Tamandua tetradactyla: one gene and its partners. The protein of the gene in region 2 purifies or fractionates together with the protein of the main gene of each other region. This does not show direct contact. Links are inferred from orthologs where the notes say so. Each region holds a gene or a part of one and is shown on either strand. Other genes may lie near its edges. The genes, in order: RALY, DHX9, ELAVL1 and PABPN1.

What was found.
Region 1: the proteins of DHX9 (region 2) and RALY purify together in Homo sapiens (affinity purification with mass spectrometry; 3 studies listed by BioGRID and IntAct, with this or other methods). This does not show direct contact. The link is inferred for Tamandua tetradactyla from reciprocal best matches to the Homo sapiens genes DHX9 and RALY.
Region 3: the proteins of DHX9 (region 2) and ELAVL1 purify together in Homo sapiens (affinity purification with mass spectrometry; 3 studies listed by BioGRID and IntAct, with this or other methods). This does not show direct contact. The link is inferred for Tamandua tetradactyla from reciprocal best matches to the Homo sapiens genes DHX9 and ELAVL1.
Region 4: the proteins of DHX9 (region 2) and PABPN1 purify together in Homo sapiens (affinity purification with mass spectrometry; 4 studies listed by BioGRID and IntAct, with this or other methods). This does not show direct contact. The link is inferred for Tamandua tetradactyla from reciprocal best matches to the Homo sapiens genes DHX9 and PABPN1.

Annotation. Positions count from the first base shown.
Region 1 is NC_135327.1:18,996,614-19,004,618, forward strand, and holds the start of RALY (RNA-binding protein Raly), read right to left. Parts: upstream 3,018-8,005; 5' UTR 2,653-3,017; intron 2,315-2,652; exon of another isoform or gene 1,917-2,314; intron 1,541-1,916; exon of another isoform or gene 1,345-1,540; intron 1-1,344. UniProt on the Homo sapiens protein: RNA-binding protein that acts as a transcriptional cofactor for cholesterol biosynthetic genes in the liver. Binds the lipid-responsive non-coding RNA LeXis and is required for LeXis-mediated effect on cholesterogenesis.
Region 2 is NC_135330.1:37,701,997-37,709,783, reverse strand, and holds the start of DHX9 (ATP-dependent RNA helicase A), read right to left. Parts: upstream 3,002-7,787; 5' UTR 2,856-3,001; intron 221-2,855; exon of another isoform or gene 82-220; intron 1-81. UniProt on the Homo sapiens protein: Multifunctional ATP-dependent nucleic acid helicase that unwinds DNA and RNA in a 3' to 5' direction and that plays important roles in many processes, such as DNA replication, transcriptional activation, post-transcriptional RNA regulation, mRNA translation and RNA-mediated gene silencing.
Region 3 is NC_135337.1:84,443,750-84,451,157, reverse strand, and holds the start of ELAVL1 (ELAV-like protein 1), read left to right. Parts: upstream 1-4,399; 5' UTR 4,400-4,501; intron 4,502-7,408. UniProt on the Homo sapiens protein: RNA-binding protein that binds to the 3'-UTR region of mRNAs and increases their stability.
Region 4 is NC_135340.1:31,562,657-31,570,094, forward strand, and holds the start of PABPN1 (polyadenylate-binding protein 2), read right to left. Parts: upstream 3,017-7,438; 5' UTR 2,804-3,016; coding exon 2,453-2,803; intron 2,342-2,452; exon of another isoform or gene 2,236-2,341; intron 2,090-2,235; coding exon 1,975-2,089; intron 1,285-1,974; coding exon 1,217-1,284; intron 925-1,216; coding exon 818-924; intron 614-817; coding exon 526-613; intron 438-525; coding exon 286-437; intron 1-285.

The DNA of each region.
Region 1 (8,005 bases), on a different chromosome or scaffold from region 2:
AGGTAGTTTCTTCCGAAAATAGAGAAGGGGTCAGCAGTCATCTTTGAAAAAAGAAAAAAGGCTTCAGTGATGAGCTTCAATCCAGAGGGGAGAACTTAACCAAAGGTACCACAAGGCATGGGTTCTTGCTCTAAGACTGTAAGCCATGCCCTGCTGCAGATGCAGTAGGTTAAGGAAGACACTAAGAGCACAAGTTATATTGTCTGCAAATTGAATCCTGGCTCTGTCACTTACTAAATTATATGACCCTGAGCAAGTCCTGTAACATCCAGAAGCCTGTTCTTTCTTCTGTAAAACAGGGATAATAACAGTATCTAATGCAGAGGTTTGCTCTGAGGATTAAAAGAGACACAGACATACAGTACCTGCTATATGACAAATGCTGAATAAGTGTTAGTTATTATTACTAACACTACAAACTACTTTCACAGCCATTTTCTCATAAACCCTCAACAATCCTGTGAGAGTTTACAGATAAGGAAATCGAAGCTTAGAGTCACAATGAGTGGCTCATTTGATGAGGCCAAATCAAATCCTCAGCCTGAGAGATGTCCTGCCCCATCTCTTGTTTAACTGCATGACCTAAGGCAAGTGCCCTAACCTTGCTGTATTTCAATTTCCACGTAATAAAATGGCAATACAAACCTAGCTCAGTAAACTCCCTCACAGAAATGAATTAGAAATGAAATCAGATGATGGTTACAAAAGAGTGCTGTAAACTATAAAGTACTGTAAAACAAAAGTGGCAACTTATAAAAAATGGTATACCTGTGCACAAAATCTGGCCTTTTACTGCTAAACCTGAGGCATAGAGAGTGGCTGGGACTACACAACTTCGTTGGAATTTCCATTCACTCAAGATTCTTGGTCTTTCCAGGGCTGAATAAATGGTTAAATGCCCTTTCATGAGGCAGAAATAAAAATTACTGAACTGAGAGGCAGAAGACTGGAGATTCTAGTTCTTGTTCTATCACTAAGGCAGTTTTAATTTAGAACTTACTATTAATACAGAAAGGGGAACAATTCCTCCCTACCATGATTCTTGGGATGCAGAGGGGGAAGCACAGTACACCTACCAGATTCCAAGGGATTAAGACAGACATCAAATATCAGGGTAAGACCTCCCTTCCTAAGAGACCCCTCAATATTCAGCTCAGGAACTCCCCTGCCTGATTTTCAGACTCCTCATACATACTGGAAATCAAACATATTGGAAAACTGAAACACTTCCCAAAGCTAATTTTAGTTCACTTTAAGCTCTCTGGGCCTTATCTGAAAATAAGGGAAATAAAACCCTACTTGAAAGCAGACCTGAGTAAATGATTTGTCACCCCTAACCCACAGAAATCTGTAAATCTAAACACCAGAGAAATGCAAGGTTTGGAATGAAGAGGGGAGATAATGGAGGAGGAACATAATATGAACAAAATTATGGACAGACTTCACTTGGATTTACACCTTCCTTGAGCCAAAGTCCCAGGGAATTTCAGTTACGCTTGAGACCTGGAGTTCCCTGCATCCACCAACTTCTAGAGGAAAGGTAAGCAGAAAGTCATTCTATCCTCCTTTCCCTCGGAGTTTTGGTAGCCTAGAATGGTATTTCATGTGGAAAATGGCCCAAAAGTCAGGAAGGACCTAGTAATGCCCCTAACTCATGGTTGATCCAGGAATAACTCCTTTTGCACTAGGGATTATACATGCTCACATTAGGAAATAAATAACAGGTATTAGCATCACTGCCTTACACTTCTGTGGCTACAGGGTGTTTTGGAGCAAACTAGTCTCTCCGTGCCTTTATTTCTGCTTCTGTGCAATGGGAATAACTCCAGAAGGCCGTTGTGAGCACTAAATGAAAAAACGCCTTATGAAATACCTGGCAAGGGGCCTAGCACATGATCAAGTCTCATTAAATTTACCTGTTGGTATTAAACAGTTCTCATTTATTAGTTCCCTCATCGAGCACGCAAACACCCTGTGAAACGAATTTCATTTTTCCCCCATTTCACCGAGGCGCGAACTCAGGCTGGGCCGCGAAGAGCACTGCGTGAAGTGCGAAATAACGCCCCAGCTCGAAGGCCTGTGGTTGTTCCCCTCCAAGCCCCAGGTGTACCAATGAGCTCAGGACCGGGAGAAGTAGGATCGGGGGCGCTCAGGCCCCCGAGGGTCGAGTCAGGGCCAGTTGTACCCGTCTCAGGGATCCACAGACCCAGCCTAGGAGGACAGCAGGGCAGTGTGGAGGCGGAAAAAAGCCCGGGGCCAGAGTCCTGGCCCTGCCCGCCGAGGCCTCCTCGGCGCGGCCTCCGCTCCACTCCCTCCTCCCCTCGCCGAGCGGGGCGGGGCGCAAACACAAAAGACTCCAACTTCCGAGCCGGCGCGGGCCCACCCGGCCAACTCCTGGCCCAGGCCCGGGCCGCGGAACTGCCGGGGCGGGCGACACGGGGCGGCGGGCTCGGGTACAGGGAATGTGCGGAAGGAGGGGATCTGGAGTTACTCCGGCTCTCCGGGCTCCGGAATGACCAGAAAAAGAGTTTCTAAAAATAGGTAACGGCCCGCTTGAAGAGGTGAGCGACCGAAAAGAAGCACAGGAACACACACTCACACACTCACACACTCACACACTCTCTTGAGGAGACGCCCGCGGCTCCCACTCACCCGCGCCAAGAGATCTGGAGAGAGAAGCTCGGCAAGGAAGGAGGCGGTGCCGCCGCACTTGGGGGCGGAATGAAGGGAGGGAGAGAGGGAGGCGGCCCCGACCGCGGCGTGAGGAGCCTGAACACAAGCGCGGGAGCCCTCGTCTGCGGCGTCGTCGTCGTCGCCGCCGCTACCGCCCCCACAGCTTCTCGCGGCTTGATCTGCCCAGAGCCCGCGCCGTTCGCGCGTCCAGCTATACTGACAGCGGCGCGAGCTCCGCAGCCGCGAGTCCTTCCCTCGGCCTACACCACTGAGGCGCGCAGGGGTAGGGCCCCTCAGCTTGGCCCCGCCCTCCGCCCTAGTCCTAACCTGGGCTTCCCTCCCCTCCACTCCTGTCTCCCGGGTAGATGCTACGACAGTAGTGCAACGAGATTGGAACCTCGCCCAGGCACAACCGGCCCCGCCCCCAACGCCTGGGCTCTCTTCACCCCTCGGCTCGGCTTTGGAAAGGTCCAGAGCTTCCGCGGGGAGAGGCAAAGGGCGGGGCAGGGGCGGGGCCTGATAGGGAGGCGGGACTGAGGTGGGAGCCTGGGGACCCGCGTAAGGGCGGGAAGAGGGATTCGCTTGTACTAGTAGGGAGCCGAACGTGGGGCAAGGCTAGCAGGGTTGTGAATCCCTAACAAGAGGAGCGCAAGAGAGGTAAAGAAAGTAGTGGAGGCCTCGGAGAGCCTGGAGCTCCCTCAGAGCTGGAAAGGAGAGGCTGTGCTCGGGCCTAGAGGGCGGCCATACCCAGAGGAGGAGTCACGGTGGAGGAAGACCAAGAGAAGCTGGAAGAAGGAGGGGCTGAGGAGAAGCCACGAAAGAAGGAACGATTGAAGCGGGACCGGAGGAGGCGGGCCCGGAAGCAGAGCCAGGAGGAGGAGCCCGAAAGGTGGAGACTCTCGGGAGGAGCCGGAAGGAGGCGTGACCTAAAGAAGGTTTGAGTGGGTGGTGCTTGGCGTTAGCCGGGCGTGGGGATGGGGCTCAAACTCGTCGCCTGGAGGCAATGCTCTAGGGATCCGGAAAAGAGGAAGTAGAGAAGAAGCACAAGGTCTTTTAATTTTCAAGGAACCAGGCACTAGGGCTTCATGTCTAAGCTGGAACTAGGGGAAGAGGCTGCGGTGACGGTGGAACTCTGGGGGAGGACTTAAAAAATATATAAAGGTAAAATTCAAGTAAGTCTCTTTATACTTCTGGCTGCAGGGAATGTTTTCTAACTTGATCTGAGTGGTGGTTCTCCCTCCTAAACATCTCCGCTGTTGAATTTTTCACTTGGATCACTAGTCCATTCGCCAGAGTCTCTGATCCCCAAGCCCCAGCCTCCACAGAACAGCCAGAGGAGTTTTCTGAGAGCACAAAAGGACTGGTGCCTTTCAGTCTTCAGTTATGGACCTCCTTGAAAACTGGGAACTGACTAGAAAAATTCTCCATGTCTCATCCAATCTGGCCTGCGATTTCATGATTGTATTTATCATATCGTTTCCCCCAGAATCTACCTGAAAAACGAGATTCTCTACTCTGAGCAGAACTTGAATCAAGAGCTGTAGCTCTGCCCGATCAGCAGTTAGATCTACACTTCTGTATAGGCTGGAACTAGATTCTGGAAAGAACTGATTTCTTTGCTAAGCTTGACAGACAGTGGGAATCATTGAACGGTTTTGAGCAGAGGGTGCTTTGGAATGATCAAGTGTCAAGGTTGAAAGAATCTGCTCCATGAAATTGTGAAACTATAACCCACAATTGGTGGCTGAGAGGGGGGTGGGGGAGAGGTTCAAGGTTATGAGGACGGTTCTCCTAAGTCAATGAAAGAATATATTATGTCTCTCTTGGTCCTCACCAGCTCAGCCCTGGGCCCTTGTCTCTCCTGTCTGTCTTGCCAGGGGTCTCCAAATCCGTTTTTTCTTATCAAACAAAAGACAGGGTGGCATCTTCAAAGTATGGGCTTCATTAAGTAGGGAGAGCAAATTCAGACCTTCCCTCCCAATGCCTCTCTCACCTCAGCCTTCAAACCTCCTAACAGAGAGAGTACCAGTCCAAGTGACCTTCCCTCTGCCCCTCTTTGCAATCCATTAGCTGCACCACCAAGATCATATGCATTGCATTAATTGAAATTGACATTAAGGGCTCACATGCTCAAGCACATTCAAAGAAATTATAAAATGAATAAGGCTTTGTGTATGTGGCATTTGTTCTAATGAGAAAAAGCATCTCTAGAGCATCTTACTCAAAAAGGATTATGTACCCAGGAAATGATTATGAGGCCTCCCACCCCACCCATGCCTCCCAATATTCAGAAAGGCTTTAGTCTCCGAGATGCATTTCTGCAGATGTCATCCATCACATTTCCCCTTCGTGTTCTCCATTTCTTTATCCAAATCCACTCCTCCATATTCTTTTTTTAAAACTTTTTTATTGTGAAATATAACACACACAAAAAAATAGATTTCAAAGTACATTTTAACAAGTAGTTACAGTATGAATTTCAAAGTATGGTATGGGTTACAGTCCCACAGCTTCAGGTATTTCCTTCTAGCTGCTCTAAGACACTGGAGACTAAGAAGAAATATCAATATAATGATTCGGTAGTCATTTTCATTTGTTAAATCCTATTTTCTCCGTTAAAACTCCTCCTCCTTTTATCCTTCTCCCAATCTGTAGGGATATTTGGGCAAGAACCATCTAACTTCATGTTGAAGAAGGGTTTCAACATTATGGTGTATGGGGATGCAACTGGTTGATGCTCGTGAAGATACTGGTAACTCTGAGTTTGGGGGATTATCTGGCCTAGGGACCCATCAGGAGGTTGTAGGTTTCTGAAAAATAAACTTAGTGAGGGAAACTTTTTATAAATCTCAGATAGAGCCCTGGGTATATTTTAGGAGTTATAGGAATACTGTTGGTTGGGGCTTGGCATACCATGGGAATTAGCAATATCTAGCTGAAGCTTGCATAAGAGTAACCTTCAGAAAAGGCTCTTGACTCTATTTGAACTGTCTGAGCCACTGATACCTTATTTTGTTACATTTTCCCCCTTTTGGTCAGGGGCCATTATCAGTGCCGTGGTACCAGGGCCAGGCTCATCCCTGAGAGTCATGTCCCACATTGTCAAGGAGACGTACACTCCTGGACATCATGTCCCACGTAGGGGGGAAGGTAAAGATTTTCCTTGCAGAATTGGACTTAAGAGAGAGAGGAGGCCACATCTGAGCAACTAAAGAGTTTCTCTGGAAGTAACCCTTAGGCATAATTATAGGTAGGCTTAGCTTCTCCATTACAGAAATAAGTTTCATAAGAGCAAGCCTCAAGATCAAGGGCCTGGCTTATTAACTTGGGAGTTCCTAATGTTTGAGACAGTATCAGATTTCCCAAGTGGGAAAGTTTAATAGTTCCGTAATTTTTCTTCAGTCCCTCGAGGGATTTTGCCATTACTTTTTAATTATCTGCCCAACGTATTCTGGAATGTATCTGGGTATTATATTAAGCTATACAGAATTGCAAGACCTCATTCCCAATGCTAGACTCCATGTGTTTAGGCTGCTTAACTGAACTGGCCAGATAGGTTAAGTTAGATTGTGTGCTATGGAAAATTTAAGTTTTGGACAAAATAAACCTCTCATCCTTTAGTCTCATGCAGTAGATGAAATTGTAAAACACAAACACCATCATCCTTTACCCTGTGTCTGATTTATCTTAGTCCCAGCCAGATCAGCTTTGTTTTATCTCTAATTGAAGTCTGATCTCTTTTTTGGCTTCTTTACAGTTGCTTTATGTAAGAATACTGACTTTCAGAGCTGCACAACTCCAACTCTTAGTCATATGTGTCATCTGTATGACACCTCCATATCCTTTTAAAAATTCTCAGCCACATGTTAGTACCTTTGAGTTCTCAGATGTTCTTATTTGCTGTACCTCAGGATTTCTTAACCAGGTGGTCCTAGAAGTTCTCAGCTTTTGATCCAAACAGGAGACACTGAGATGAAGAGAATCCCACCTGAAGTAGATTGTAAGTTCTAGATACTGTTTTTCCCTGCACTGTATAATTTCCCTTTCTTGGAATTAGGGCCTGGATTTCCAATGAACCCCCAGTTCCCATTCTTGGTCCAAACTTTATAAAGAGTGAAGATACTAAATTTGGACATCCTGGGTTTGAATCCTGGTTCTGCCATTTACTACTTTTGTGAATCTGGGAAAATTCCTTAACCTCTCTACCTCTCATTTAAGAAATGTGGAAAATAATATCTACCTAACAGAGCTGTTGGATGGATAATATGAGTTGATACACATAAGATGTTTAGAAGAGTGCCTATCACATAGTAAACACTCATTTAATGTATTTATTATTTTATTATTACTGCAGAAGGAAATGGCCACTTTCCCCTAGGCCCTGGTGATGGGACCTGATGCAGGCTGGCCAATCAGGGCATTCCAACCCTCTACCCGCGGTAGAACCCTTCCCACACGTAGAAAGCCATACCAATCATTTGGATTGACACCATGGGTTGAAACTTAATTTGTTCTCTGAAAGCCTGGTCTTACCAGACCAATGCTGTAAAGTAAGGGAAAACTTCCAATTTTGGGCCAGTTCATTAGGAGAGACAAATCTAAGTAGGGAGACTAAGGAACTATCAAATTTCACCCTGCTGTGAAGGCCCACTCTCCCTACCCTAGCCATTGGTCAGATACCATGAAAATAATTGTAGTAGACTGTTAATTTGGGTGACCCCCAAGGAACCATGCTTCCCAGATTTTGTGATTTCATGTAGCCCCCTTCCACATTGACTCTGGGTTTGGCCATGCAACTACTTTGGCCAGTGGGACATTAGCAGTCAGGATACAAGCAGAGGCTTGATAAATGCTTGTACCCCGGGGCTAGTCCTCTTGTAATGCTTACTCTTTGGACCCCTGAGCTTTCAGATAAGAAGTTTGGCTACCATGCTGGAGAGACCAATAGGAAGGATTCTCTAAAACTACATGGAGAGAATCAGAAGTCCAGCCATCCCAGCAGTTTCCCTGCTAAACCCAGCTCTCAGCCAGTCTGGTACCTTAATGCAGGCACAAGAGTGACCACCAGCCAAATGAGGAGAAAAACTGCCCACCTGAGTCCAGCCCAGATGGAGGGCTCATGAGCAAGTAAAATGGTTGTTTTATACCACTAAGTTTTAGAGTGCTTTGTTACACAGCAATAGAAAGTCAACATAGCAATCACATTCAGTAACATTTCCTTAGCTCCACAGAGTTCTCAAGTGCTTCCTGCACCTGCAAGAATAGGAACATTGTCATCCCCATTTTATGGATGGGAAAGCTGAGGCCAAAAGAAGGGAAGCAACAACAAACC
Region 2 (7,787 bases):
TGTTGATACTCTGATTTGGACATTTTCAAAGCCTCAGACCTGTAAACTTATAAACTAATAAATACTGTTAAAAGCCAGTCCATTCCCATTCGACTACCACTTTTTCTCTTAATAGATTTTAGTGGCTATGCTTATGGGATAGATGAAAGTTGCCATGATCTGAAGAGGGAGGATTTTTCTGTGTGTCCTTCTTCTATATGAAATGGCTGAACAGAAAACCAGTGCCTGTGACATTTTAGTACTATGTACTAAACTCGATAAAACCAGAAGAATTTGAATAGTAAATTTATAAGTGTTTTTCTCCCCCACACTTCAAACAGGGAAGCAGTGCGGTATATCAGTGAAAACCTAATTATTAATACAGATAAACTTGGAAGAGATTGCCTGATTAATGCTGCTAAGACCTCTATGTCTTCCAAAATTATTGGAATGTATCCTTGTGATGGGCCAGCAAAGCTTGGGCTAATTTAAAAAGAAAGATTCTGTGTTAGTTTTTATGCTTAAACTATTGATTGCACTGGAGATCATATACTGAGATTGCCTGATGCCTTCCCTGCCTTTCTAGGGAGAAAAGCTGAACATAAAGTGTGTGTAAAACTTAAATTGTACATATTAAGTAAAAAAAAAAAAAGCCAGTCCATTTCTAGTATATTGCATTTTGGCAGTTTAGCAAACAAAAACAAGTCCAAATGCAGTAAGTATTCAGTACTTGAACTGAAAACAAGAACCTATATAGCTCAAATATTTACATGTTTCTAAAGTATCCCTAAATGTCCAATTAGCCCTAAAATGGCCTTGTCACTTTGACCTCTCCCCTAAAGAATACATGACTTTACAAGTGCTCCTGTATAAACCGCCTCTCTTCCAAGACACCTGTACCAAATTAAATATTAAAAAAAAATTTAAATACAGTAGAAAAGCCTATTGAGAGAGTCCTATTTCCTACTTTACAGGTATCTTTTTTCCTGTTCTTAACACAATGGAAGTAATAATGTAAGGAAGAACGACCATTACAAGGGAGAAGACTTGGTTTTATCCTTGCCACTTGCTTGAAGGTCTGCTATTACCACTACACTGCTAAAAATCCTCTGGTGGTGTCTCATCGCTCTATGAAAAAAAAAAAAGTCTCTTGTCTGAAGGTATGGGAGTTGAACCAGTTCTCTCCTTTAGGCCTTGCTACTTGTAAAACTTGAAGATACCAAGTTTCTTGAAGTGCAACATTTATTTGTTAGCGTCCCCCCTTTATTCCAGCTTATAGATACCAAAATAAATGGAGCCTACAAATCTAACGTCTGAGTCGTAATTATAAGCAATTTACCTGAAACCAAATTTAGACCAGAGAAAATATGCTATGAATTTAGTCTGAAGCCAAGAGAAACCTCCTTTCTCAGGTTACACCTGTTTAGGATCACTCTTAGTGCACTTTGTTAGCATCTACGTTTAATGCATTTAAGCCGGACACTAGTATAATCCTGTTATGGTCACTGTGCAGCCATGGGCTAACCCTGCTCAGCTGTTTTGGTGAAGGAGCACTCTATCACAGAAAAGCTGTGGAAAGCTGAAGAGGTCTACCTGTAAATTCCATTCCTGAATAATTAACTCAAAAAACAAGCCCTGAGTAACATGAAATACGAACTACACTATCAAATTCCTTTCTCCTTAAGTTGTCTCATCTAATTCCACAATATTCAGCATCAACTATATATTGAAAGCACAGTCCTTTCCCTTCAAGCTCCAAGATCATAAGTTTATCCAACTACCAAACTAACCTAATTTAGGAGTCATCTACCTCCTGAATAACTGCCATAACTATTCATTGTAGAGCACCTTAATATGGGCTAGTTTCCTTAGTGGATCATCTACATGAGCTATTTTATTTACTCTTTAGAGCCTTTAGATAACCATTATTATCCCCTTCTCACAGTTGAAGAAGACAGAGCTAGTGATCGGAGGAGCCAGAATTCCACCAAGGAGGTCTGACTCCAGATTTACTTCCCTCTACCACTACAATTCTGCTTCCCAAATATGTCTGCAATATATCTGCTTATGTCCATCTCTCCCACCAGCACTGCACATCTGGAGTACTGCTTCCACTCTTGCCACCTAAAATTCATTCTTTTAAATCCTTCTTGCCACAATCCAGTCACATCCCCTTCTTGAGGTTCCTTTTTAGTCTCTGGCCTTTAAGCGTCAACTAATCCCTCCTGCCTCTGCAGCTCTGCTTTTCCTCATCTTCACAGCTGGCGCAATCTCCGCCTTCAGATAATACCTTAAATGTCTACCCCCTCCCCTAGACGCCTTCCCTTGCCGCCCGACCTAAAATAACTCTCTCCCTTTACACTTCTAAATTCCTCATAATATTTTTCAATCGCTTACCCCTCACAAACCTCTCTGAGGGAAGCGGCGGGACTGTGTCTAACCTGTGTGATGCTCTACCCACTCTCTGCAGGAGGGCGCCGAATATTTGTGTCGTGAGGGAATGAATGAAGGGCCTAGGAGAGTGCGTCGCCGCGGGCTAACGACCCGACAACTCACTCCCCTTTCGCTCCGCGGCGACAGCGCCCCCAACGTGAGCTGATCGAAGGAGAAGCGGGTTGTACCTCGGAGACAGGGGTAGGAATTGCTGGGAGAAGGCCTAGGCGCCATAACCGCGGCCCTGGACAGGGCCAGCGCGCTGCGGCCAGCGGCAGACGCAACCCCCAATCCGGGAACTTGGCGGGGTGGCTCGCCCCTTCCCCCACCCGCCATGGGCACCCGCGCTTTGTAACAAAGCAAGGCTGCACCGACGTCGGGTCCCTCCCCGCCGCCCCGCGACACTGTTGCCCCGCAATGAGGGAAGGGCTCCTTTTCCTTACCGAATACCGCTTTAGGGTGCTCAAGAGCACAGCCCTCTCAGGACTGACCGTGGCTCCGGCCTTCTACGACGAAAGCAGAAAACCGCGAGAACGCTAGCATGGAAACGGCGGCGGAATGGCTCCGACCGCTGCGCAGGAAAGGGGCGGGGCGGGGCGGGGTTAGTACGCGTACGCCTGCGCAGAAAGCGAGCGTGGGCGAAGGCGCCAGAAGGCCGGGGGCGAGCTTGCTGCAATCTGGCTGCGCTTGCATCCCGTCGCCTTGGAGACCCGCTAAGTTCGCCGGAGGTGCCCTAGCGGGACTTCTTCCAGTAACACGCCACCCGCTTTTTAACATTTTAGGAGTTGGGGCCGTTAATATTTTAGATGTAGCAATATATATCGTAGCTTCTGTCCTAGGTACCTCTGGTGAGATGACAGAACTGGAAATCTCCGTGCTCACCTCATTAGGTTACTGTGATGATTAAATGAGATGGCATATTAAGGGGGCTTAACACACTACCTGGTTCATAATAGGTGTTCAATAAATAGTAGCTGCTGTCAATCGTTAAGTGATTCAGTTACTCTGATCGTGAATGTCTCCTGAGAAGGAAATACGCTCAGTGAAGGGAGGGACACTGCACTAGCTCAGGACACCCACTATGATGCCGGGCACATCGCACTTGCGCAGTAAGTACGAGTTGAAGGAATGAATAAAACATGCAAGGCCATTTTTGCTTAAATTGGATATCCTTTTGTATTCAGAATCTTTGGGTTAATTTGTATCCTTAAGTATTACAATAGTCTACTGCTAAATTTTTTTAACTCTAGTGCAACACTGCAAGATATTTCAAACTGAGTTGTTCCGGAAAACATAGACCAATCAATACTCTGGACCCATCATAACTATCCATCCTTAGTTTTCGCTTCTTTCATTACATTTTTTCTTACTCCTTCTAGGTCATGGTGATCACTCCCTTCTTCAAAACTCTAATGCACTTATAATGAGAACAACAAAATTTAGCATTTACTCATCTTTTATTTTCATCATGTGTTTGCTCTCCTCAATGAAGAGATGTGACCTAGCCCATTCAAGGTGGGTCTTAATCCTCTTGCTGGAGTCCTTTATGAGAGGATAAAAGGCAGAGACATTTTGGAGAAAGCTGAGAGAAATGCCCACAGAAGTTCAGAGAAATTTTGGAGAGAAGGAACAGCAGACATTGCTATGTGCCTTCCCATGTGACAGAGGAACCCCAATGCCAGCAGCCTTTCCTCTGAGAAGGTATCTTCCTCCTGATGCCTTAATGTGGATACATTTTCATGGCTTTAAAATTGTACATTTGTACCCTAATAAGGTTCAAATCTCCAAATAAGGGAGATCTGGAGGCGGAAAGGAAGCTGCAACCATCTTGTAGCTCACAGACATTGAGCAGTAGACTCACCTAATAGGTATGAGGCAACAGCTGGGCCTGCAACTGCTGCACCTTGCCATGGCTTCTCCTTCAGTTTCTCTGACTCCTGGGCCAGGTAACTTAATGAAGTGACATCATCATAATGGCAGCATAAGCTATCCCTAGGAAATTTCCTCTTAGAGACATTTAATAAAAGGGCACATACCACTCACCTGGAACTCTGGAAGACGAAAATCTGGGAAAAGATTCTACAAATGCTGAATCGAAGAAAAAAAAAAAAGCACCAAAAGGAAAAGAGAAAATCTGTGGCACGGACCTGCCTATCTGGATCTTCTACCTCACTGGGTCTTATGTGGTTTAAGAGTCACTCAGTGGAAGCACTCTGGCCTGGGCACCTCCTGCCATGGTCATTGACCATAGAGCCACCCACAGCAGTAACTTAGATCTCTGTACACATTTAGACACAGGGACCAAAGTGGGGAATCCGGTAGTCAGCAAGTGTGCTCAGAAAAATCAGCCCCCAGGAAACAGGAAACAAAGTGACCCACGATGGAAGGGTTGGCAAAGGGTGCACACTCCCAACTTGGTCTCTAATTGCTGGTGCACCTAAATGAAAAATGGGCATTTCTGAACACCAACCCCATCTGGCTCCCTGGGTGGGATACTCTAATGTGCAAGTTACTGGAGGCAGAAGAGCCGAATGGGAAAAAGGGAAAGACTAAACTGCTCTAAGGCAGAGAGGAGAGAGGACCAAAAACTGTAATGCAAAGGCAGTCCTGGAGTGGAAAAGCAGTTGATCAAATCACAGTTTCTGGGAAGGAAAATTTGCAAAAAGAACAAACAGAATAGTTCAGGACTCCTGAAGGAGGAACAAAGAAAAATAAATCTTTTCCTAGAGCTGAAACAGTCACACTTAATTGGACAATTGTAAGAGTTGCAGCACATGCCCAGAGCGAAAGACAGGTGCAGAAGATCTAAGAAAATCTGAACTGTTAAACACAGGCTGCTTTAAATGTTCAGTATAAGCCGGACCAAGCATTTGAAAAGAGCCTTACCACTCAGTCAGTGCACAATCAAATCCTAGGCAAAAGGAAGAAACTGGCTGAATTAGCACATCAAAATAATCAAATGGCCAGACATGAGAAAAAAAATCACAAACCATATAAATTCATCTTTATACCTTACACATATAAAATGTAATGTAAATATTTAATTAAAAACCTTAAAAGGTGGGAATGAACTTATTCAAAACTATCTAGGAATAACTCTGTTTTTTTTCCCCATAGATGAAGGTATATAGCCTTGATGATGAAGATTTGGTTCAGGAATAAAGAAAGTCTGATAGTTTTTTAAAAACATTGTCTTAAAAATCACTAGATTTCTACTGCAAGTCCTTGAATGGTGGATGTAGGTCCTAAGTATTAAGGCATGTAAGAGGAAATTCTACTCTTTACCCCAATCCAGCCAAATCCAATTTGTGCAGAGACTAATACCAAAAGCTACACACCTGGGGGACATACCTGGGGACTAGTAAGTGCAGGTTACCCCTACTCTGGTATGAGTTCATTTACACTAAATCCTATTTTCTTGGCGACATCATAATCTCTGATCTTAAAGAAGAAAAATGGGTGGATAAAGACATTACAGGTAAATGCGAACAAACATGAAGAAGGGGTGAAAATGACAGTATCAAATAATGTTGAATTCAACTACAAAAGCATTTAAAGAGAAGGGAAGGACACTTTATGATGATTGTTCTAGTTTGCTAGCTGCTGCCATATACTAGAAACAGAACGGCTTTTAAAAGTAGGAATTTATTAAATTGCAAGTCCACAGTTCAAAGGCCACAAAAATGTCCCAACTAAAGCAAGGCTATAGAAATGTCCAATCTAGGGCATCCAGTAAAAGATATCTTGGTTCAAGAACGCCAATGACGTTCAGGGTTTCTCAACTGGAAAGGCACATGGCGAACCTAGCAGCGTCTGCTAGCTTTCTCTCCCAGCTTCTTGTTTCATGAAGCTCCCCGGGGGGAGCGTTTTCCTTCTTCATCTCCAAAGGCCTGACTGCAAGGGCTCTGTAGCTCTTTCCAAAATGGTTCTCTCTTAAACGGCTCCAATAAGCAACCCCACCTTGAATGGGTGGAGACACATCTCCAAGGAAATCATCTAATCAAAAGTTAGATGTGACTCACAATTTGATGCGTCATATCTCCATGGATAATTTTAAAACTTCCACCCAGCAATACTGAATGAGGATTAAAGAACATGCCTTTTCTGGGGTCCACAAATTCAAACCAGCACAATGATAAAGGGTAAAAATCTATGATGAAGATTTATTAGTCATGAAACTTAAAGCAATAAGCAACAAAGCATCAAAACTCATAAGGCAAAACCACTTTTTATTTAGGGTTACATAAAGTCAGGTGTGGTAGTGGCAACAGGATGATCTATTTTAGGAATCTGTGAACAGTAAGGGATGCTCGATCTGAAAGAGGTGCAGGTTAGAGAGTTGAAAATAGTGTCAAGGAAGATCAGCAAAATGTTTAGTCTGCTTCTGGCTGCAAGTAATTAAAAGTCCAGCTAGAAAAGGCTAAAACAGCCAGGAAAACTTATTGTCACATAATAACACAGTCTTGACGTAGGGTAGCTTCAGGGTTGGTTAATTCAGCAGTTACATGAAGGTCCACAAGTTTTTTCTGCCATTCTCAGTATGTTGGCTGTGTCCTGAGATTGGCTCCCTCATGACTACAAAAGCATTGTAGCAATCTACCTCTGGATTCAACAACGGCCAGAGGAAGAAGAGATCTATGCATCTAGGTGGCCAGATTTATATCACATGCCCACCTGTAAACCAGTCACTTATAGGGAATGGGATTTCCATGGCTGGCTTAAATAATTTGGGATTTACCTCTGATCAGGACATAGGGTCACTTTTCCTGAGGTATGGGAAATAGAGAAATGGAGGTTCTATTAGAAAGAAAGAGGAGATGGAGGCACAATGGGCAGGAAAAATATGTTACATACAGAAGTGCAATACCAACTGTTTCCTTTTGGTAAGTCCAGGAAAATTATTCCATATAAAATGATCTTTTTATGGAATTAATCGATTATATTCCAAGTCTCTTGTAGGAAACTGTGTAGGCCCCATTCATTCATTCATTCATTCATTCCAAAAACCTCTGAGACCCTATGGACTCAGTGTGAGGACTCAGACAAGTAAGGCTGGTCCCCGCCTCTATTAGTCAGGTTCTCTAGGGAAACAGAACCAACAAAAGACATCTGTAATAGTATGCAATTTTATAGAAGTGTCTCATGCAACTGTGGAGATACATGAATCCAAATTCCATAGGGCAGGCTGCAAACTGGCAACTCCAATGAAGGTTTTCCAGGAATTCTCCAGGAGAGGCAGGTTGGCTGAAGTAGAGACAAAAGTTCTCTCTTCTGACTGCTGAAGTCATCACCTCTCCCTTAAAAGCCTTCAACTGATTGGATTAAACATCTCTCATTGTGGAAGGCACGCCCCTTAGTTGACCATAGATATAATC
Region 3 (7,408 bases), on a different chromosome or scaffold from region 2:
ATATCACACTCCTTGAATACTTTATACTGCCATATATATTTCCTAAAAACAAGGATATTCACTTATACAATTATCAAGTTCAAGGAACCTAACATTGATAGAAAGCTTTCAGTCTATATTCCAATTTTCTTATATGTTCTAATAATGTCCTTTTGGACCTTTTTACCTCCATATTGTGCTTAACTGTCATTTTCTCTTTGGTCTCTCTCTCTTCCTATCTCTTTTTTAAATGTGGTAACATATATACATCATAAAATTTCCCACCTCAATCACTCCCAAGCTATTCAATTCCCAATGCTGTGCTACCATCACTACCTTCCAATAGGAAAACTTCTCTATCTACCCAAGCAGAAACCCTGCACTCATTATATTTCATGCAATTTTCACAGGTCACAAAATATTATTCTTGTTTTGATTTTTTTCAACCATTAAAAGACGGTAAAAACAACACTCAGCTAGTGGGCTGTACAAAAATAGGTGGTGGGGGGCAGGCCTCGGTGGCTCAGTGGCAGAGTTCTCGTCTGCCATGCTGGAGACCCGAGTTTGATTCCTGGAGCCTGCCCATACAAAAAACAAACAAACAAAAAAAGGCAGTGGGCTAAATTGGTTTATAGTTTGCCAACTCTAGGACTTCGGGATAAAATCCCAACGGCTCTGCCTACCCCCTCAGGTCTCTTTGCAACAACATCCGGACATTGGTCCAATTTCATCTGGCCATCCTTTTCCTTCACCACCTGTATCCCAGCACCTCCCACAACTCACTTTTCAAGAGCAGGGACCTAGGCCGAAGCATCTTTGTGTCTCCTGACCTCACAGACCTTCAATAGCTTGTGCTTAAGGAACAGACCAGGACTTAGAGGGAAAGCAAGAACAACATGGAAACATAGTGACTTGAGTGTACTCCTCAGGTACTTAGGGTATTCCTCGAGTACTTCCTACTGTAAGAAGGAAAACTACACTTCTTACAGAAAAAAAAGAAAAAGGAAAAAAGAAAGCAAGAACTTCCTCTCAAATTCAAACCACAGAAAAAAGGATCTCTGTGACTAGGCAGACCTGAGTTCAAATCCTGACTCTGTCACTCTGTGCACTAGATTATGTGTACTCATGCAAGTCACTTCTGGTTTTGCTCTTAGGACTGAGTCTCAACTTACAATGGTCAACGAGGCCCCGTGCAGCCCACCTCTGCCAATCCCATGAGTCCTTCTCCTGTCCGTGTATTCTATGTGTGCCAGCCTCCAGCCTGCCTCAGGGCCTTTGTACTTGCTGTTCTTTCTGCCTGAAGTATTCTGCTTCCTCTTTGCTTGGTAACTCACCCTTCATGACTAAGCTGAAACACCAATGACATGGGAAGCCTTCCTTAGCCATCCTAAAACAAAGTCAAGTCCTCCAGTTATATGCTTTGCTGATGGCCCAAACCTCTGTTAGATTATAATTAGTTGTGCAATTTATTATAATAAGATATAATAAGCACATTATGCCAGATCTTGTTCTAGAGATTCTAAATGGGTTATTTCACCTAACTCTCACAGCACCTTCAGGAAAATTATAATCATCCCCATTTTATAGATGGGGAAATTGAAGCTCAGAAAGACAAAATAATTTGTCCAAAGTTGCACAGTTAATATACGTTGGAGCTCTGCTCTTAAACCAGTCTCTGTAAGCTGACTCAAAGTTCTGTGAGGGTAGATGCCATGTCTGTGTGGTCACTGTTGTATGCCTAGGGCTAGCACCTGCAACTAATGCTAATGTGACATGCCAGTAGCAACAAGTACACCTAGTAATTAGATTTTGGTATCTAAAACCATTTCCAATAAATGGAACCTGGGATCCTTGAAGAAATGGCTGATTCAAGAACCAGGGCAGGAAAGAGACAAGGTGAGCCCAGAACTTCTTGCTGTTCCAGGGAGTAAGAAAATGCTCTAAAACAATAATGCACAAAAACACACCGTTGGGGGTATGGCAGAGCTCCCAATGGCCAAAGCCAGTACAACGTAAGCAACAAAATAAAGTTGTTTTGAGTATTAACCCAAAGCATAAAATAAATATTCACAAGTCCCTAGTGATCTAATTAAATGTTTGACTAAATTAATACAGGGTGGAGAAGAGAGGAATCTCCCATGCAGAAGAATTCCAAACAATTTATATGGATACTCCACCCTGAAGGAGGGGGAGCATACTGCCCCATTCCTTAAATATGGGTTGTGCTCAATGCCTTCCTTCCAAAGACACAATAAGGAAAGGCTGGGGGAAAAGTAACCTCACAGTGGAGAAACTCAACAGAAGCTACCTCAGCCAGGTAGCATCAAGGCCAACATCCACAGTCAAAAATAACACTAACAGCATGTCCTCTTGATAAGATGATGAGAAGGGCATTTTACTTCAGTGTTTTTCCTTCTAAGAACCTGTAATCACGTTCTTATGAGAAACACATCAGACAAATCCCAGGAGAAGGATGTCCTACAGAACACCTGACCAGTGCCCCTCAAAAGAGTCAAGACTGTCAAAAACAAGGAGAGGTTGAGAAACTACCTTGGCCTAAAGGAGACTAAAGAGACGTGGTAACTACATGTTATGCAGAGTCCTTGATGGGATCCCAGGACAGAAAAAGGACATTAGGGAGAAACTAAGGAAATGTGAATAAGTCTGGACCTTAGTTAATGAGAACAGGTCAATATTGGTTCATTAATTGTAACAAACGTATCTAAGTAATCTAAGCTGGTTCTAATAGGGGAAACTAGGTGTGGGGCATATGGGAACTCTACTATCCTCACAGTTTTCTTGGAAAGCTAAAACTGTTCTAAAAAATAAAGTCTATTGCTACTACTACTAAAAAAGTATTGCTATATAACCAAAGGGCTTCATCATTCATCATGGTGACAATGACTTCAAGGATTACCTGGGAGGACGTGCATAAAGCATTTAACACAGTATGCACTCAACACTGAGGGCTTGCTTCTGCCATACTAAACTTAGGCTATCTGCTGCAGGAACTATTCCCCTATGTGGCTATGTATATTTAAATTCATTAAAATAAAATGCAATTAAAAATTCAGTTCCTCAATGGCACTGGACACATGTCAGACACCCAAAAGCCACATGAAGTTACTGGTGACTGAATTAGACAGTGCAAATGTAAAACAGGCCCATTATTCCAGATGGCTCTACAGGACACTGCACTAAACAATGAATAGCATAATTATTTGTCCATTGTCCTCAGCTCCTTCAAGTTCTTCCTCCAGTGCCATCTCCTCAATATGAGGCCTTTCCAAGCACCCTCTTTTAAAATGCAACCCCTGTACTCCCCATCACCCTTCTTCAGTTTGCTTTTCTCCTTACCACTTTTCACCACTGAATGTGGAATCCACTTGATTGGTTTCTTTTCTCCCCCTGGGTCTACACTGGCAACGTGTGCCTCTTGAGTTCTTGAAATGTGGCCAGTTGGACTTGAGAAGTGCTGAGACAGATTTTAAAGACGTGGGGGAACAAAAAAGAATTTTAAAAGGTCTCGTAATTTTTTATATTATTCTACGTTGAAATAATAATGTTTTGGACATCTCGGGTTAAATAAACATTATTAAAATTCATTTCACCTATTTTTCCTTTTAAATTTTTGAACGTAGCTACTAGAACACTTAAATGACACGTGGCTGGCATTTGTAGTTGGCTTATATTTCTATGGGCAGCGCTGATACAGAATGCCAACTACAAGAACATTTAAAATTACGTTCGTGGCTCACATCTGGCTTTTCTGGACAGCGCTCGTCTAGAACGTCAGCCTAATGAGGGCAGGATTTCTTGTCTGATCACTGCCCCTACAGTGACTTGCACACAGTAGGCGCTCAATAAAGTTTTATTGAGTGAATGTTAGACTGAGCCTCTGGGAGCTCACCAGGTCCTGACCAGGTCCAAGGCCCGCCTCCTCACCTCATCAGATAAGGAAACTGAGGCCCGGCGAGGTGACGTCAGCCCCTGTCCAATAGTACGTACCGCGGAAACGTCTGGGCCGGGATTCGAACCCGCGTCCAGTCCCCTGTAGTCTGGAGTGGTGACTCTTCCTACCTGGCAGGGCGGCGGCAGCGGGGCAGACAAGCTCGGGCCACAAGGCAGGGATTCGACAAGGATCCCTTTTCTCTTTCTCTGCCGACCGGGACTTCCGTGGGCCCGGGCCTTAGCTCTCCCCTTCGCGGCCATCGCGGGCCACCGAGTATCACCGCAGGCGGCACCGGCAGGAAGTCCCGCCTCCCCCGCGCGCCTTGAGCACCGCGACAGCTGCACTGGCCAATAGGAAGAGCGCCGTGGCAGGCGCCGGCCAATGGGCGCGCGCGCCTGGGGGGCGTGTCCGGGCCGCGGGCCGGAGCGGGTCGTGCGCGCTGAGGAAGAGCCGCCGCCGCCGCCGCCGTCGCCGCCGCCGCCGCTACCGAGGCCGAGCGGAGCCGTTAGCGCCGAGCCGCCGCCTCCCGCCCGCCCCGGAGCAGCCCCGGGCCCGTCCGCCCGCGTCCAGGTGAGATGGGAGCCTTCGGCGGCGCCCGGCGATGTAGGCCGCGCCAGGCCTGAGCTCTCCTGACCGGGCCGCGGGCGCCCGCGGGCCTGCACCGGCCGAGGGCCAGGCCGCGCCAGGCCGGGAGGGGACGCGCACGGGCCGCGGGCGAGTGGGGTCCGGCGGGTGTGAGCGCCGGCGACAGGCCCAGGGCCGGATTCCTCGGCCGTCGCGAGGGTGGGCGAGGGGGACACGGCGTGGGCGCGCGCCTGGCGGCTGGGGCAAGCGCTCGGCCCCAAGGCCCCGGCGGGCTTGGAAGCCCGGGATCCGGGGGCGGGAGCGTGAAGCCAGAGACCCGGGAGTGGGGTGAGCGTCAACTGCGCCTAGAGGTCACGGCCCGCGAGCTCGCTCCCCCGGGAAATCCTACAGATTCTTTTGTGGACTGCGACCGATCCGGAGTCCTTTTCGAAGTGTGCAAACCCGTTAGTATGTATGGGAGTCCTAGAAAAATATTTATTTTTGGGCGCCATCTCTAACAAAGCTGTTCACGGGGCGTGGGACGTTAAGATTTGTAAAATGTGTGTGTGTTGAAAACACAAACAGCACGCAATTGAACAATGGGGGATGGATGCTTTTCTTTCCTTTTCCGGTGTTTTTTGCTAGGTTTGTTAAAATGGGTTCTGATACCTGCTGGATATATGGCGGGTGGGAGAGAACTTTGCATGTGCTGCCCCTGGAGAGACACAGCCCCTACCTTACTAAAAGTATTCAGGTAGGAGCCCGATGGCCAATGCTCTAGAAGTGGGAACACAAGGAAGATGATGGGACTAGAAAAGGGTTGCCTAACCTCAGAACTACTGACAATTTGGGCGGGATAAGTCTTGGTTGTGGGGGCTGTCCTGTGAATTCTAGGATGTTTAGTAGCCTCCATGGCCTCTTCTCTCCAGATGCCAGCAGCATTTCCTCTTCCTACTCCCCCACCCTACCCTAAGCATGAAGATCAAAAATGTCTCCAGACATTGCCAAAAGTCCTCAGGGGGTGCAAAATCGCCCCCGCCCCCAGAATGAGAACCACTGGACTAGATGAACTTTCACTAAGAGGCCCCCAGTCTCCATTCTTCACTCTGTCTCCCCAGGATCCAAGGCTCCTGAGACCATGGACAAACTCAATTATTGGAGCCTTAGCTTACTTCTCTGTGAAATGGAAAGGCTGAGAGTATTAAGGTGTGGATTTAAGTCAATTATTTGGTAATCTATTGTGCATGGCCTTTGCATGGTGGGCACTTAATAAATGATGTTGTAAATAATCTCCAGTATTTATTGAGAACTTATTTTTGCTTAACATTGCACAGACATCTCCAACCCTTGATTGCTGTTATAATTTCCATTTTACAAACAAAAAAAAAATGAGCAGAGGTGGGACACTTGATAATGGCCAAACTCACACAGTAAAGTGGCCAAGTTGGGACTTTAACTTGGGCCCTCTGACTCAAAAGGCCCCATTCTTAACCACAGGGTTTTACTGCTCTTATCATCTCAGCAGCCCAGGAGACCCAGAGAGACAGTGTTTCAAGGAATTCCATTCAGTTATCATTGAGCACTCCCTGTGTGCTGGATTCTATTATAAAATTCTGCCACCTCAAGGTCCACAAAAAGGCTGAGATATATGAATGTCTCAAAATGTGGAAGGAAAAAATGTTTATGTTGAAGCCCTAGCTTGGGAGGTAGGCAGAATTCCATTTTAGTTGTGTTGATTCTGAGGTCACAGGGCAGCAAGTAGAAAATGAGAGGAGAATTAGGAAAGTGCTCTTTCTGCTGTTCGCTCTATTGTCTCTCACTCAGGCCATGTTTCCTGCTTCCTGTCTCTATCCTCTGTCCACAATCCAGCAAGGATTGTCTTTTTAAAACAAGGATCTGATCATGACACTCCTGATTAAAAGTCCTTGGGTGGGGAAGAAACAGTTGAACTTTTTGAGTGGCTTGCAAGATGAAGTCAAAAGTCCTCAGCTTGGGGCTCCAGGTCTTTCATACTCTAATGCTCTCTTCCTTTCTGACCTCATCTAAACTCTGGCCCTCTCTGTTGCTCCCACTTCCTGAATGCTGTTCTCTTCCACCTGGAGATCTCTTCCTTATGCTGCATAGCCCAGCTCAGAGCTCACTCACGGCTTGAAGCCTTCTCCAACTCCCACCCTTCCTCCACCTCCACCAGAATTAACTGTTCCCTCACTTGTGCCCCCATCCCATTCAATTTTCATTTGAATCCAATTAAATGCTAGTGAGAGAAGTGCAGTTACACTATTTCACCCCTAGATGGCAATAGTGAAGCAGTAAGGCCTTGGGACAGGGGAAGACCCAAGGAAACCAGCCTGTAAAAGGGAAGTGAGTTTTGCTTCCCTCCTCAGCTAACTCCCCCTGATCTGCTGTTGTGTCCCAGGCTTGTCAGTGGAATATACAGGGTGTATGGAGATCATTTCAGTCCGCTCTGGTGAGTGCAGTGATAAATTATGCACTGGCTTCAGGGAAGCACAGAAAAGGGCACTGTTAACCAAGACTTGGTGGGCAGAAGAGATGGCAGAGACCTTCTGGAGGAGGCAAGGTGTGAGGGCTGGGGTGGAGTTAACCAGAATCCTTCCACAATGGGGAAGGGTTTTGATGGATGCAGGAACAGCATGAGGAAAGACACGGAGATGGGAATATCTCAGTTTCTTCAGGGAACCTGGGGTTTGGTGCTTGAGGGGCAGGTAAGAAGGGTGGAAGCCAGTAGAGGCAAGGTGAGTGGGATGAGTCAGGCCCAGTTGTGAAGGGCTTCACATCTGTCTGTTGTATAAAGAGTTCTCCTTAAGGCTGGGCCAGGAATGGCTATTGAATAGTTTTAGTCCACAAAGTGGGGAAGTCACATTTGCACACAGAAGGAAGAGATGGGGAGGGGGT
Region 4 (7,438 bases), on a different chromosome or scaffold from region 2:
AGCCCCTCATTCTACCCACTTTCAAAAAAACCAGAAAAGTCTAGGGGGAGAAAGCATCTCTCGCAACAGAGTGGAGAGATCCAGCCCTTAATACCACAATTCCTGCTCCAGAAAAGACGAGACTGGCCTTCCCTTCAACTACCTTCCTCACTCTGCATAGGCAGGAGACCAAGGCCCTGGAGACCAACGGGAGGGGAAGGGAGGGAAGCTCCTCCTATCATGAGAGACGGAAGCATACAGGGCTCATGGGAGGCGGGGAGAGAGGAGCAGCCCATCTATCCTGACCTGTAGACACGACCCCGGGGCCTGCTGTTGAAACCACTGTAGAACCGAGAACGGGAACTGTTGTAGTTGGTGGTCCGGGCACGGTAGCGGGCTCTGGGGAAACCCCGGTCTGTTGTGCTGATGCCTGGTCTGTTGGTTCGTTTGGGGATCACCTGTCGTTGTGGGATGTACCACAAAAAGCCCAGGTCAGACAACGTGCCAAGTTTCCGCAACCTGAACAGCATTATGCATGGTGCTTACCTTGATTTGTCTTCCTCTAAAAAGGGACTCATCTAAGGCCAGGGAGGTCCTCACTGACTCTTTGTCTGAGAACTCTATATACGCAAACCTGAAAAGGTTATTGTCACTTTAGCTCTCTGAAGCTGCAAACAGCAACTTGTACGTCAAATTCAACTTGCTGATGTACTTTATTTGGACTCAATGTGTTTACATTTAGGACAAAGACCCCTAGGTTTTAACAGCAAGTGACTTATTGTTCAATATTTATTTTTAAACTATGATTAAAATGATCTCAATTTACTTCCCTACTTACCCTTTGGGATGGCCACTGAATTTGTCACAAAGTATAGTAACACGGTTGACTGAACCACAGCCATGAAAGTGTGCTTCCAGCTCTTCTGCTGTCGCACCATAGTCCACCTGAGGGGGACAGGAGAGAGACAATGTTTCACAGGAACTGGGCAAACTCCAACTCCCATCTCAGCATACTGCCTCACCTTCTGGTTGGGGCCATACATTTACAGCGAGGCACATCAAATCTGTTTCTCTAAGGAACTAATCCCCTTTTCTCTCAACCCCAGAGGCCTTGCTGATCATTAATTTTTACTTCCTCCCACTCCTATCCTGGAGATGTTCTTTTCAAAAGACTTCCATTAAGTAACTCCCACAAATTAGAGCTTCCCCCAACTACAATCAGGGCCCTACTACATACATTGCCAACATAAATGGAACGAGCATCAGCCTCCATCTTCTCTTCAATGGACATGATCACTGGGCCAGCTTTGAAAAAAGACAATTAGAAAACACACTTCTTTTCTACTCTACCAATCTATTATCCTCTGACCCTCTATCACTATTAGAATATAAGCTCAGTGAAGGCAAAGATTTGAGTTTGTTCTGTTTCCTGCTGTACCCATTACCCAGAACAGGGCCAAAAACATAGTGGGTGGCCACTAAAAATGTGACTAATAATAAATACATTATTAAAAATCAGAGAGAACAAGAATTCCCCACCACCACCACCCCTATACATCAAGTCCCTATTGAAAAGGAGTTAAAGAAATTAAGATGAGAGTCTACATTTCTAGATTACAAAGGGGAAGACCCCTGCAGCTAAGCAGAAATCGTTTAGAACGTCTACTAACTAAAGGGTCCCCAAGTGAAGGAAGAACCCCTTGACTTGAAGGTCAAATGCCAGCTGGCAACCTTCACAAAGAATAAAGATAGACTAAGAACAAAGGGCAACATATTTATAACAAAGACAAAGAAAAGCACAAGACTACCATCAACCAAACATAGGATCTGTTTCACAAAGGTCAGAGGAACACATAAATTAGCAATAACCGCGGCCTCTGCCCATCAACTGCTCAGAAACGAGCTCCAAGACCCGCAGCATCTAATGCCATACGTACTCCACACATCTTTTCAACCCGAGGACGCGGGCTCCGCGTGCAGCCACCAGTTACTCACCATTGCCTGGAGGTGGACTCATATTCATCTGCTTCTCTACCTCGTTCTGCAGCTCCTTCAGCTTCTCAGCTTCTTCCTCCATCTCTCTGACACGAGCTTTGATCGCTTCCAGCTCCTACAATAAGTAGGGAGGGGTATGAACAGCTTAAGAGGAACCAATGCAGGATGCTAAACCCTTTTCTCGGTAAGCGCTCAGCCCCAGTCCTGCTCGCCATTTCCCTCTTCCCACGCGGGGTCGTGATGAAAAGATAAGCAAGCTACCTTCTCTAGAACAACACTAAGCACCCATGACGCCCGAAATCAACCCCGACGGGCCCCTCCGGTGGTGAAGGAGCCTTCCCCGGTCCGGCCCCAGCTACATTATTCCCCGCCCACCCCCACCCCCATCCCCCGCCTGCCTCCCACTCGCCCGAGCTCTGGGCCTCCCATGACCCGGCCGGCCGGTCGCCGGTTCGGTCTCTCGCCCTCCTTCCCTCACCGGGTCCTCAATGGCGCCGTCCCCCGGGTCACCCTCGACCAGTCCCGGCTCCTCCTCCTCCTCCTGGCTGCCGGGGGCTCCCGAGCCAGGCCCAGGGCCCGGAGCTCCCGGGGGGGCGCGGGGCCGGGGCGGCTCCTCTTCGGGCTCGGGCTCTGGCTCGGGCTCCAGCAGCAGCTCCCCAGGCTCCAGTTCCTCCGACTCCAGGCCGTTCCCGTAGTCCCCTGCGCCCCCCGGGGCCCCCTCCCCGGCCTCCCCACCGGCCCCGGGCACAAGATGGCGCCGCCGCCCCGGCCCGGAGCCCCGACCGCCCGCAGCCACCGCTGCTGCTGCCGCCGCCGCCGCCGCCGCCATCGCCGCTCAGACTGGGGCCCGCCGCCCGGCGATTGGAGAGCTGCGCCGGCCACGCCGAGAATTCATTAGTTAAGCGGCCTGCCCGTCACCACGAGCTAGGAGTCCATTGGGGAATATTACTTGGCAATCAAATAAGACCCCACCTCTAAGGCGGAGCACTGCGCCAAATTCTCTAATTCCGGTAGGAGAAATCCGTCTGTCAATCAACATACATCCCACCTCCTCTCAAGTCCTTAGGTAACAATACCACTACGCTGTGACGACCTTCCTGCTTCTCCCCCGCCCACCGGAGGGCCCGCGGAGTGTACGGCGCTCTGTGATTGGCCCCTAGCTAGGAGAGGTGGAACGAACCAATCTGCCCATCGCCCCCCGCGGTGTCCTGGTTTCAGATGTCATTGGCTTGTGAAATTCGAAGGGCTGACACCAGCTATCTACTAGGTGAACCTTGACCCCAAACGGACTGCCAGCCTTAAGCCAGGGAAAAGCGATGTCACATGACCTAGTCTCTTAGGGAGACGCCATCTTTATTCTATTGGTTGCCAAACGAGCTGTTGGAAGGCAGAGGCCGGAAACACAGCGGCGGCTTCTGGAAATTAGTGTCCTATCCAGGAAGTACCAGTAGTTGGGAGATTGCTGAAAGTGGCGGTTTCTGAATGGAACAGTCCAGGAGAGAGCTGACTTTTCCCATTCAGATTATTGGCATTACCATTCACCTGTCACAAGACCTGAGAGTTCTGCCTCCTGGTTAGGCCTCCTTTCTAAACTCACGACCCTGGTTTTATCTTGTTTCTTCTCTTGCCTGGACGGTTTGTGTCAGCCGCAAACGGGTCTTTCGGCTTCCGGTGTCATACCTATAACCCGTACCACTTTCAGACCGAGCTGGCCAGGTAGTCTCTACTCCTTACCGCGAACTTGGAGACCCTCAGAACCCGGTTATTTCACTCTTTGTTCCGTGGGTGTACCTGCACCCAGGTGTGTTCCTCTGTACAGTCTTGTCTCCAAACCCACAGCAAATCCTAGCATCACCTCTACTAGGACGCCTTCCCCTGCTTCTCTTCTCCCACGGCAAGGGGGCCTACCTCCACTACGTGTTAGGTCCCTTTGCGTTTTTTATGTTGTGAGCTCCTGGAGATGAGGGGCTAGATCCTATTTATATTCGTTTGTCCACCACCTATTACCATAAATAGCACAATATGAAGTCCAATAAATATTTATCGACCGAAGGATGCATTATTTGGAGTCTGGGTGCGACCCTGAATCTTCAGCGCTTTCCTGACCCCAAGCCCTCCTTCAGACTCCAGAAGTTCTCCAGGCAAAGTATCACCTTACTGCTGCGCCCCCAGTGACCAACGACACCAGGACACCAGCCCTGAAGGCAGGGTGGCTACATTTCAGCAGTGAGTAAGGTGCTCAGTGCTAAGTTTGAAAGAGATGTTTTGATAGTAGGACCAAGCCACCGTTTGAGAGTTGGATTCACATGAACCCCCCAAAACATTAAACAAGCCCCATGAGATGTGCGGGGTGGTGGTCGGTAGGGAGGACTGGGAGAGGAGGATAGCCCTATTAGCGAACGAAATCTAAAAGCTTCTCAGTACACCCCACCCTTCCGTTCACCCCCGCTATTTCTCGCGAATCCTTACCTCAGGATCTGGAGGACTTGAGGCATAATCACAGTTGCTTAAAGTGCTTAAAATTACTTCGTCATCCATCGGCGATCTAAGAGAACTGAAGTTGAGCACCGAAGACAGGCTCTAAACCACTGCAATTTTGCTGAAAGAAAGGTCTTTTATATTGAACTTAATCTAATCAAGACCTGGGCGCTTATTGGTGCCTGACTTAAATCTAATCAAGACCTGGGCGTTTATTGGTGCCTGACTTAAGTAATCAAGCCAACCATAGGAAGTGTGGTGGTTTTTTTTTTTTTTTAAATGCTTTTGAATCCTGTTTTTGTTCAGCATTTCATTTTGTTAACAGGCATCACATTAGGCTTCTTAATATATTATCTCATTGAATTTTAAAACAACCCTGTCAAGTAGATGCTTCCAAAACTATACTCTTTTTTTTTTTTAGAGAAGAAGCTTTAAAGAAAAGTATCTTGTCCAATCATGAAGCTATTTAGGAGTGAGCAAGGAATTCAAGGCCAACTTTCTAAGCTCAAATCATAACTACTCTATGGTTTACTTTAATATGCAAAAATCACATTATATGTAATACTGAAAATTGGAAAACGACTAAATTCCAGTAACAGACAACGTTTAAGTAAACCATGATTATATCTAATCAAAGATTATTATCTACCTATTAAAAGATTTACACACAGTGTGTGATAACATACAAAAAATATTTTTGTTAGGCCAAAGTGGTAAAATGTAAAATTGTATATAAAGTATGATTTTCTGAAAAACTCCATAGAAATAAAAAGGTACATTAGCAATATGTACCCAGTTTTTTAAGTGTTGAGACTCTTAACCCAGTAATTCTTATAATCTGTTCTAAAGAAGTAACATTTGTGAGTGAAAATGTTCATCACAGTGAAAAAATGTAAACGTCCAAGTGTGGACTTACATGAAAACTACTGTACACATTCAATATAATTTTATATTAGATATGCCTTCAAAACGTTTTTAATGACAAGGAAAAATTCTTGCAATATATTGGTAAGCAGAATTGCCATATACAAAATGTATGTACAGTATGATCATAAAATAGAAGCGCAGATAAAAGACAGGAAAGAAATATGCCAAAATGTTAATAGTGGTTTTCTCTGGGTAGTAGGATTATGACTGATTTTCTTTACAGTTTTCTGTGTTCGATGATCTTTCCACAGTCATTATTTTTATTTAAAGTATAAAAGTCACTCCAACTTCCAAGTAAGCATGATGACTTTTACAAACAAATATTCACATTTAAAAATTTGAGTGGTGACTTGTAAAGAAAGATTCTTCCCTATCAGACTGTTTAGAAGGCAGGAACACCATCTTAATTATATTTGTATTCCCATTACTAATAAATTCTAATTGAATAAATAATCCTCAGTAATGAAGGATTTATGTAACATCCTGCCTGTTAATAAATAGAAAACATCAGAGATAAGTTTTCATCTGGGGATGAATTTTTTTTTAAGTTATATATAACAGGGGTGTGAGATTTACCCATTATGAGTATAGTTCTCCTTAAGTAATAACTTATACATAGATGGCTATGAAGTTTTGGAAAACCTGAAACTCCATTGCTTTCTTAGAAAAGGGGTGGGGTGGTGGTGGTGGTAATGTATTAATCTTCCATTAACGTATTCTGTGGAGTTGAGAATTTAAACTGTAAAATTGGTTCAGAAAACGGGGGACATGATTCCCAGAGTTGACCCTGGCCCTGGCGTGGAGGGATGAACAATGCCTTCTGGACTAAAAGGGGGAAAGAAATAAATGTAACGAAATAAGGTATCAGTGGCTAAGAGAGCTCAGATAGAGTCAGTGGCTATTCTGGAGGCTACTCTTATGCAAGCTTTAGCTAAGTATTGCTAATTACAATGGCTTGCCATACCCGCTCAAACATCATTCCTGCAACTCTAAAGAACACCTAGGGCTCTATCTGAGACTCTACAAAAGTTTCATGTACTAAGTTTACATTCCTGAAACCTGTAACCTCCAGAGGGTTCCTAGGCCAGATAAGTCCTGAAACCCAGAGGGGCCAGCCTCTCCAAGAATACCAACTAATTCCATCCCCTTATTCTATAGTGTTGACACCCCTTTTCAACATGAAAAAGTTAGAATGGGCATAGCCCAAAGACCCCTATAGATTGGGAAGAGGATCAAGTGGAAGGAGGAGTTATAACAGGAAGACAGTATTTAACAAATGAGAATGACTGCTGAATCATTATAATGGTATTTCTTTTAGCTTGCAGTATTTTGGAGCAGCTAGAAGGAAAAACCCAAAAATGTGGAATGGTAATCCATACCAAACTTTGTAATCTGTTCTGTAATTACTTGTTAAAAAGTACTTTGAAAATTATTCCTTTTTTTCTCTATGTATAGTATATTTCACAATAAAAAACTGGGTCATGGGTGGGCCACAGTGGCTCAGTGGCAGAGTTCTCATCTGCCAAACTGGAGACCTGGGTTCGATGCCTGGTGCTTGCCCATATGGAAAAAAAAAAAAAAAAAAAAAGCAGGTCAGAGTATATTGAGTTCTATCCAGAAGGGAACAGTTTTCTCACTAGACAACATAAATATTTGACTCCTTGGTATTTCATCCTTGTTTTTAAATCCTGCTTTACAAATTGTATAGGCTACAGTAATTCTCTATGATATAGAACCACATTGTTTAAAATGATGGCCAATATCGAGCACTTAAAATATGGCTAGCCTAAATTGAAGTGTACCAAAGCCTAAAATACACACTAGATTTCAAAGACTTAGTATGAAAAAAAGAATGCAAAGTAGCTCATTAATAATTGTTTAATATTAATGATGCACTGAGATGATCATATTTTTATTGTTAAATATATTATTAAAATTAGTTTTATCAGATTTTTGTGTTTTTTTTAAATGTGGCTACTAGAAAATGTAAAACTGCATATATGGCTTGCATTATATTTCTATTGGGCAGTACTGTTACAGAACCTTGGAGTCTTTAGCA